Linked DNA regions of Nothobranchius furzeri. The protein of the gene in region 1 purifies or fractionates together with the protein of each later gene. This does not show direct contact. Links are inferred from orthologs where the notes say so. Each region holds a gene or a part of one and is shown on either strand. Other genes may lie near its edges. The genes, in order: fibpa and c2cd5.

The links.
Region 2: the proteins of fibpa (region 1) and c2cd5 purify together in Homo sapiens (affinity purification with mass spectrometry; 3 studies listed by BioGRID and IntAct, counting the BioPlex papers as one, with this or other methods). This does not show direct contact. The link is inferred for Nothobranchius furzeri from reciprocal best matches to the Homo sapiens genes FIBP and C2CD5.

The regions. Positions count from the first base shown.
Region 1 is NC_091741.1:84,649,662-84,654,235, reverse strand, and holds the start of fibpa (fibroblast growth factor (acidic) intracellular binding protein a), read left to right. Parts: upstream 1-1,478; 5' UTR 1,479-1,825; intron 1,826-1,933; coding exon 1,934-2,018; intron 2,019-3,007; coding exon 3,008-3,206; intron 3,207-3,357; coding exon 3,358-3,484; intron 3,485-3,717; coding exon 3,718-3,818; intron 3,819-4,029; coding exon 4,030-4,163; intron 4,164-4,574. UniProt on the Homo sapiens protein: May be involved in mitogenic function of FGF1. May mediate with IER2 FGF-signaling in the establishment of laterality in the embryo.
Region 2 is NC_091744.1:70,654,633-70,659,123, forward strand, and holds the start of c2cd5 (C2 domain-containing protein 5), read left to right. Parts: upstream 1-1,506; 5' UTR 1,507-1,624; intron 1,625-1,677; exon of another isoform or gene 1,678-1,727; 5' UTR 1,728-1,813; exon of another isoform or gene 1,814-2,088; intron 2,089-2,265; 5' UTR 2,266-2,278; coding exon 2,279-2,368; intron 2,369-2,716; coding exon 2,717-2,803; intron 2,804-2,910; coding exon 2,911-3,082; intron 3,083-3,168; coding exon 3,169-3,264; intron 3,265-3,535; coding exon 3,536-3,691; intron 3,692-3,774; coding exon 3,775-4,003; intron 4,004-4,491. UniProt on the Homo sapiens protein: Required for insulin-stimulated glucose transport and glucose transporter SLC2A4/GLUT4 translocation from intracellular glucose storage vesicle (GSV) to the plasma membrane (PM) in adipocytes.

The DNA.
Region 1 (4,574 bases):
TCTGTTGAACTTTACCCGGTTAACCAGCAGATCAAATGCTATAGGTCAAACGCATTTTAGTCCTTGCACCCGAATTATGCATGTGCTAAGCTAGACTAAAAAACTTCCACAAATAAATTAATTTAATTGTTTTAAATCTTGTTGGGGACTTTAAGATGCTAAAATGTCTCATGAAAAAATTGTTCTAGAAAGAAATAATGTCCATTTCAGATATGTAGACTGGGATGGATCTACTGGGGTGGCCTAGGGTGGCCTAGGGTGGCAGATGTTAGGGTGCTAGCACGGCTGCTACCACAGCAAATTCATTGAACAGTTGTGGCAAATCAGACATACGAATGTTATTGTCACTTGTCCGATTGAACCGATTATAACGTAAGCTGATAAAATTATGTCACAAGACAAAACAAATACGGCTTTGTAAATACTGATGATTTCCTTGGAAAGCATGTGTTTCTGATTCTACAATAAAACTAGCATTCTGTTCCTCGCTGCAGTGAAATGTTTCTCTCCATGCATACTCTTTTGGCGACACACACACACACACACACACACACACACACACACACACACACACACACACACACACACACACACACACACACACACACACACACACACACACACACAATTGTGTGCGTCTATGTGTATCTCCTTAAAAGAGTATGGTATTTTATGCCATATCTTCCCACCCTTAAAGCATTTCTAGGTCCAGCCCTGTATGTACAGGATAGGCTTGTGAGAAAGCTGAATGCCCAATTCACATAAATGGCACATGTGACATAATTTGTCCTTGGCAGAATCATATTTGTGATATTTGAAATTTTGACTGTGGATGGAAAAATCTCTTCATATCTGCAAAGCAAATTTGTATTTATTAAGAAAGAAACAAATTAATGGAACTGAGGTGTCCACAAGTGGATTGTCTGCTATACACTTTTAGCATTTGGAGTTGAACATTTAGAGTTGAATAAGTAATGGGCATCCATTATCTTTATCTATCTTTTTTTATGGAAACCTATCTAATTTAAAAGTTATCTTTAATCTTATGAATGAGTTTTAATCAATAGTGGTTAAATAAAGTTTAAATAAAAACTTTAATAAAATTGTAATATCCTAACAAATTATCCAAATGACGTAAATAAAAACACTATATTTGAAAACATTACTATAATTCAAATAAAATGTGTGCTTTCTCCTCTATATTAATGTCGATTTTTTTAAACAAACTTTATTTGTTTTTGTCACAAATACATAGTCACACTAACAAACATACATCAAATATACACACGAACAGACATCAGCTCATTAATCGACAAGAGGCACTTAACAGATAATACAACCTTCCAAAAGGTACGTTTTTTGGATTGTTTTTGTTATACAGGGTCAATCAGAAATAAACATTGAAGACTTATTAAAGCTATATTAATGTCGATGGCTTTCTCGCATTTGTTCGTGTGACGTCACCGACCGTACCGGAAGTGGCTGCTAATGTTGTTGTCACTGGCTGCGGATCCCTAAAAACATGGACGCAACGGTTTAACAGCTATTTACGCTTAAAAAAAAACCGGAAAGTTTGAGTGTGCTCCAATTTCCAGATTATATCACCATAATAATTTGGTCTTAATTAGTCATTTTGTTATCTGGTGGTTAGTTTTGTGCTCACCGACGGCTGCTAACGGTTCGGCATGCTAACAGAGGTTTCGAGTTTAGCTAGTAATTCAGGCGACAGGAAACAGTTTAAACTCAATAACTGAATGGATGAATCTGCTTAAAAACACACATTCATTGACGCCAGAAAATCGGTTTGGACGACAGTAAAAACAAGGTATATTCAGTCATTTATTCAGTTTCGGGCTCCTTGAAGTTAATCCGAGAGTTTTGCAGGTAAATTATTTGAGCCAAATTTTAACAGATTATTTTTTGTTTCGTACAGATGGCAGTAGAGCTTGATGTGTTCGTGGGTAACACCACTATTATGGATGAGGAGGTCTACCAGCTCTGGTTGGACGGATACACAGGTAGGAATGAGGCTGCATGTTAATATTATTGTTATAACATGAACAATCAGCCCTGATGTATTTAAGAAGGTTTTTATAAAGATCAAAAGGTCTACAGGCCATTATAGTTATATTATTGCATGTTAACTGATGGGTGATTAAAATCTAATTATGTAATTAAAAACAATGACACAGCTCTGTATAAAACCAAAACTGGGGCTTTTCGTCTGAATTAGTTCATACATGTAGATTAAGTGATCTGCTAGCAGAATAAAACAACAAAACAAAACTTTTCAAACAGCTTCAAATATTGAATTTACAATGGTTGAGATTAATGCATCAAAGATAAACAAAACTTGAAATGATTAGTTGCAACATACGGTATTCATTTTTGGGTAAACAAAGCACTTTCATTAGTCACATCACAGGAACCAGAAAACGGGAAGGCTAAGTGTGGGAAATAAATGGAGCAAAAACACAAAGTTGCCCATAAGTATTTGCTTAAATATCGCAACAAGTACCTCTAAACCTGGCACATCACTAGCAACACCTGAAGTGCAAAGATGCAGAAAATGCCAAGACCAGATCACTGGCTATGTTTACATTCACAGTAACACTTTGATATTAACCCTAGATAGAAAGACCAAAGTGTCAATAAAGCAATGTAATCACGTTACTGCATCGTGCAAGAACATTTTCTTCTACTTCCATAGTTCTCAGATCAAGTTATTTTACACAAAACTGGCTTCTTTTTGTTGAACTTGTTGCTTTCTGTCACACATTTTGGCATCACCAACCCCAGAAGACAGCTTGTGCAGAGCAGGATGAGCTAAAAAGTAATGCTCTGGTATTTTACCGGATATGGGTGTAATTAGCTGTAACAATGAAAAGGAAACACCAGAGTACTACATTGTAATGGGATGGGATTGGAATATTCTACGTATGACTTCTGTTAACAGCATAGTTGTACAACTGATATTCTGATCGGAGTTTGGGATCTATTCCAACAGTGAACGATGCAGTGAGGGCGCGTATGGAGGGAGGAGTACTGGATGAGTTTGATGCAACTGCAGATGTTCTGCTCAGTGATACCATGGACCAGTACAGGACTTTCCAGATGTGTGAGCGTCTTCTGCACAGTCCAGCCAAACTTGCAAACCAACTGCTGTTCCAGATTCCCCCTCATCGGCAAACCATGCTCATCGAGAGGTGAAGCTTGTTTAGTTATCTGTTTTAAGCCATTCTTGTGTTAAAATCAGTCCCTCTACCCTCTTTTTCCCAGTTTAAATTCAATTTAAAATTATTGTTTAAATTAAAAATCATTTTATTATTATTAAATTATTTGTGGGTCTCTGTTAAGATATTATGCCTTTGATGATGTATTTGTACGTGAAGTCCTGGGAAAGAAACTCTCCAAAGGAACAAAGAAAGACTTGGATGATATCAGTGCCAAGACAGGTGTGACTCTGAAAAGCTGCAGACGACAGGTAAAGAACACCACCAGCTTACACAGTGTTGCCTTTACAGCAAGTCTCTTTTGTTAGCCTAGTGTTGTGTTTGGAATGTTAAAAAAAATCATCATGCTGCAGTTTTTTTTTTGTTTAGTTTTCCATGACCTTTTCTCCAGGCTGAGGTACGGTTTATGAGTTGTGGTGGGCTTGTGGTTTGGAGAGAAAATAGTTGTTTTAGTTATTATCTAGCATCATGTGTTATGTTTCAGTTTGACAACTTCAAAAGAATTTTCAAAGTTGTGGAAGAGCTGAAGGGACCCCTGGTGGAGAACATACGTCAACATTTTCTTCTGTCTGACAAACTTGCAAGGTAACCAGTCCTCCTACAAATACTCTAACCCTTTTTTTTACTTATTTAGCTTTTGTTTCAGAATGACTGCATCGGTTTAATTCCTTTTGTTCAAAATCAAAGAACATTTTCCTCCTAAAGTCAAATATTCAGGGTATTTAATCCCATGGAAACAACAGCATGATTGTCTTGTATTTCCCATTGCATCCTGCTTACATTTAGCTTGTTTCAGGGATTATGCTGCCATTGTTTTCTTTGCCAACAACCGCTTTGAGACGGGGAAAAAGAAGCTGCAGTACATCACTTTCCAGGACTTTGCTTTCTGCGCCGGCCAACTTATCAACAACTGGACCGTTGGAGCTGTTGGTGAGGGATTATGGTTGCTTCCTTTGGCCAGTTCTTTGACATAAGATATAAGCCATGTGGATCATTTTTGTCAGTTATGTAATTTATCAAATGTCACAGCGCAATGTTAAACCAATATGTCCTAGAAACACTGTTATTGAAAATAAATGTTGATGCTGTGTAAAACTATGTAAAAATGGCTAAAAATAGACACCTGAGAACAAGCTGTTCATTTTTTTTGGTTTTTCTTTTCAATGAGACTCACTGACCAGCAGAGGTCCTTCACGTGTTACACTTCTTTGTTTGGACTTATGATTCGAATTTTAATACCAGTAAAACAAAAAGCCCCATATAGTTAGATGATGACATCACACTTATTATAATTATTTAAATAATTTTAAAAGTTTTTTTTATTTTAATAATCTCAATTTT
Region 2 (4,491 bases), on another chromosome or scaffold:
CAAACGCATAGTGAGGGTCTGCTGGGAACGCCTGGCAGAAGAACCTGTCAAGACGGTCTTCAACTCCCACCTCCGGCAGAGCTTTGACCACGTCCCGAGAGCAGTGGGGGACATTGAGTCCGAGTGGGCCTTGTTCCACTCTGCGATTGTCGAGGCGGCTGTTGCTAGCTGTGGTCGTAAGATGGCCGGTGCCAGTCGTGGTGGCAACCCCGTACCCGCTGGTGGACACCAGAGGTTCGGGGAGCCGTCAGGCTGAAGAAGGAGGCCTACAGGGCGTGGCTGGTCTGTGGGTCTCCGGAGGCAGCAGACAGGTACCGGATAGCCAAGCGGGGTGCAGCAGTGGCAGTTGCCGAGGCAAAATCTCGGGAGTAAAGGTTAGCGATAACTGAAATTAACCTAAACCAAAAACAAAAAATAAATAAATAAAATAAAACTTTAGTTTGGAAAGTGTAATCTATGAAAGTGTCACAATAGGGACATCGGTACATTACACTCTTATTGTCATCCATTTTCCAGGAACTTTAGTGTGATGTTTGCAAGTTCAGATTTGATGATTAGATTATCTTTTTTCTAGTTTTCAGTAAAACCAATGCTGAAATTCAGAGAACTCTTAGGTCAATCTAAGGTCATTCTGTGTATGTTGGTTTTGATTTATCATGCACCATCTTGCCTTTTGACAGGAAAGAAACAGAGCAATCATGTCACATCTGCACCAGTCATTTAAAATGGAGCCATTTGTTAGGGTTAGATTGGTGGCCACTAATGTTTGCAGATCCCAAAGAAATGATCTGTTTATTTGGCTGTTTAGTTTGAACCCACTTATTTTAATTGACTTTTTCTCATGTTTGATTAAATCTTGGCTTTTATAATGCAAGCTTAACTATATGTTTTTATTAGTCGTAGTTCATTTAAATTTATATGAACAATTTATATTTCATATTTTTTGCATCACTAAAATGCCCAATGGGAGAACACTTTGACGCGACTACTGCAAGGTATGTTTCCAGACATTTTTTGTGAGTGGAACAGTAACTCTTTAGGTTTACCGAGTATTTATTATTTTAAGTAAGAAGAGGAGCCAGTGGCAACGTTTCTGACATAGTCAACGCCTTATTTGATTAATAGCTTTATTTTAAACTTATCTAAAATAGTAAAGAAAGAAAGAAAGAAAGAAAGAAAGAAAGAAAGAAAGAAAGAAAGAAAGAAAGAAAGAATGAATGAAAGAGACGTAGCTAGCTACCAAGGGAATGTAAAAATCACATGACAAGTTTCAACCCGAACATGTAGGAGGTGGCGCATGTCTTCATTGCTGCATTTACTGAACTGTAGTTTTTAATAATTTAAATACTACTCACATATAAATAACGTAGAAGAACCAATAAAATAATACGTGAATCTATATGCACAGTAAACCACATAGTAAGAATAAGGGAAGATGTTCAATCTTTACATTTTTGTTTATGTTTCTGGCAGCAGGGTGACGTTGTAGTCTAAAGTACGACGTTACGGGATGTTCATGAAGGTATCACGCTATACCACTGAAAATTCATTCATCATTAACAGTTATCAACAAGCTAGCTTTTACATTTACTCTTTAAACCAGGAGTTATGCAACATTTTAATGGTTTGTATAGTAACTTGTAAGCAAATAATATTCTTTATATTGTTATGATTTGAGCAGGTGATATCTAAGCTGGTAATAACGTGTCGTGTTATGGGAAAGACAGTGAGGTCAGGCGATCGGTGGACCGTCAACAACGATGTGAAAGGACTGCTACCGCTCTGACAGCTGTCTGACCATATTATAGCACCGGTAAGAACGATAGTCTTTAAAATAGGGGCAAGAAGCTTATTTTTGTAGGAGGAGTCTGGTCTGCATGGATGTTCGTACAAACATGGCCGATCAGGTAACTAAAGCTAACGAGATCCAGTGTCAGCAATGCCGTTAAGTGGCTTTCATGCGTTAGCTTAAAGCTAACACAATCGTGCCAACTGATGGGCGCTGTCGTGTTCATAATGGCATTTCACTATATTACGTCTGACGTTATAAACCATTTAAGTTACGACACGAAGCTTTATTGATGAAAGGTACGACACGAAGCTTTATTGATGAAAGGTTGTTTATGTATTATGAATGCGCTTTTAAATTGAGTATGGGGCTGTCCCTCTCCACACACTCCCCTAGCTGTCGCGTAATGATGGCAGTGCTACGCTACTTGGAGAGCGACAGGTCTAACTGCTCTGTTTGTTTACATATTTTTGCAGATCAACTTAAATCATGCCTGGAAAACTGAAGGCCAAAATTGTGGCAGGGCGCCACTTGCCTGTCATGGACAGAGCCAGTGACCTAACGGATGCCTTTGTAGAGGTAAGGGGATCATTTAACAACACTGAGTTGATAACAAATATGATAATCAGAAAAACGGGTGTCCTAAACTTTAGACAGATTTAGTTTCATGATGTTTCCAGTTTTTGGATTGAAGGTAAGCTATTTTGGGACCTGAAAGAGTTGAATGAAAATGTTTTGCTGGTTTTTGGTGAAATAAACAAAATATTCTTTAAAAGACATGATTTGGATAGCAGTGTGTGGTGTCTAAGGTAAGTAGAGTAATCAACTCTTGACTAATTAGCACATAGCAACTCAGAGTGATTACAAAAGCTAGTTTACTGTGACTGTTTATGTATCATTCTACATACAAAGGCTGTTTCTTTTCAGGTGAAGTTTGGAAACACAACCTTCAAAACAGATGTTTGTCCTAAATCCCTTAATCCACAGTGGAACTCTGAATGGTTCAAATTTGAGGTAAAATTACTTTTACTCCTTTTTAAGCTAAAGAAGTGGCTGTTTTATTTACTAGGCTATTAAACGTATACAAATTTTCGTCTAACTTATCATTTATTTCTGTCTAGGTTGATGATGAAGACTTGCAGGATGAGCCTTTGCAGATCACAGTATTGGACCACGATACTTACAGCGCCAACGATGCCATAGGAAAAGTTTATATTGACATCGATCCTTTACTGTGTACTGAAGCGGCCTCTATCATCTCTGGCTGGTTCCCTATCTACGATACCATCCATGGTACAAGATTCACCTTGCATCATTACGATAAAATCCTTCATCTGTTTTTATTTCTTATTGACATGACTTACTTTGCTTTCCATCAGGTATCCGCGGAGAGATAAATGTCCTCGTAAAAGTGGAGCTCTTCAACGATCTGAACCGCTTCAGACAATCATCATGCGGGGTCAAATTCTTCTGCAGTATGTCTGATCTGACTTTTACTTCTCAGTGCACCCTAATTAGCCTTAAATGTTGCAGTTGCATACAAAGCAATTCACAGGTAATGTGAAATATTAAGACACTAAGATTTTTGGCACGATCTCAAGTGCATCAAGTAAAAACATAATTTTCATACTTGGTAAGGATGAATGTTTTTTCAGGGCCTTCATTACGTCTGTAAACCAGGAAGTGGCTATTAACAAAGTGTCTTAAATATCTTTTATTATCTTATTGTCTCAATTTCACTTGCAGCTACATCAATTCCATACAGCTATCGGGCAGTGATGGTGCATGGGTTTGTAGAGGAACTGGTGGTGAATGAAGACCCAGAGTACCAGTGGATAGACCGTATAAGAACCCCTCGTGCATCCAATGAAGCTCGCCAGAGACTCATTTCTCTGATGTCTGGTAAAAAAAATAAATTCTATGTTTTTCCCTTGGATCTGGAATAATGTCTCATGTTAACATCACTCTTCTTACTCTTTGTTTAGGAGAACTACAGAGGAAAATAGGGCTTAAGGTCTTGGAGATGGGTGGGAACGCTGTGGTGGGTTACTTGCAATGTTTCGATCTGGAGGGAGAGTCGGGTCTGGTGGTCCGGGCCATAGGTACCGCCTGCACTTTGGAAAAATTCAGCTCTGGGAGCGCCTCGATTACCTGTCCACACCCGAGCACGGCCCCTCCTTCCAACGCCTGCAATTCTCCTAAAGATGGAAAGGAGTGAGTATGAACCAAAAACATGAGCATGAACATGACCTTTTTAATGTGCAAGTAAAGTTTGTGGGAATGCAGAAGAGCGGTGTGTGCATGAGACGGAGAGCGTGCACATGAGGTCTACTGTTAATCTGTTTTAATCCAGCCATTATTCCTGTGTGTGTCTCAGTACAGTTTTATTAGTTTATGTCTGTTGTGTATTGCAGCATGAAACTAACAACACATTACATACCCTGAGACACACACATACAGCACACACAGATCCATCGCTCTGCTCCTTTTAACCACTTGTGCACGACTTACTGCTCTGCCTCTGCATGTTTTATTGCGTTTTGCTGTAATGTATATGTTGCATGTGCTCTTGCTCTGCTTCTAAACCCTTTGTAGCCGATTGGTGAAATCTCCTAGTATTGTTGGCACCACTGCAGCTGAGTGCTTGGTAGCTTCTGATTTGCATCTATGTTGAAAAGAAATGAATCAGGGATGAAAGCTTT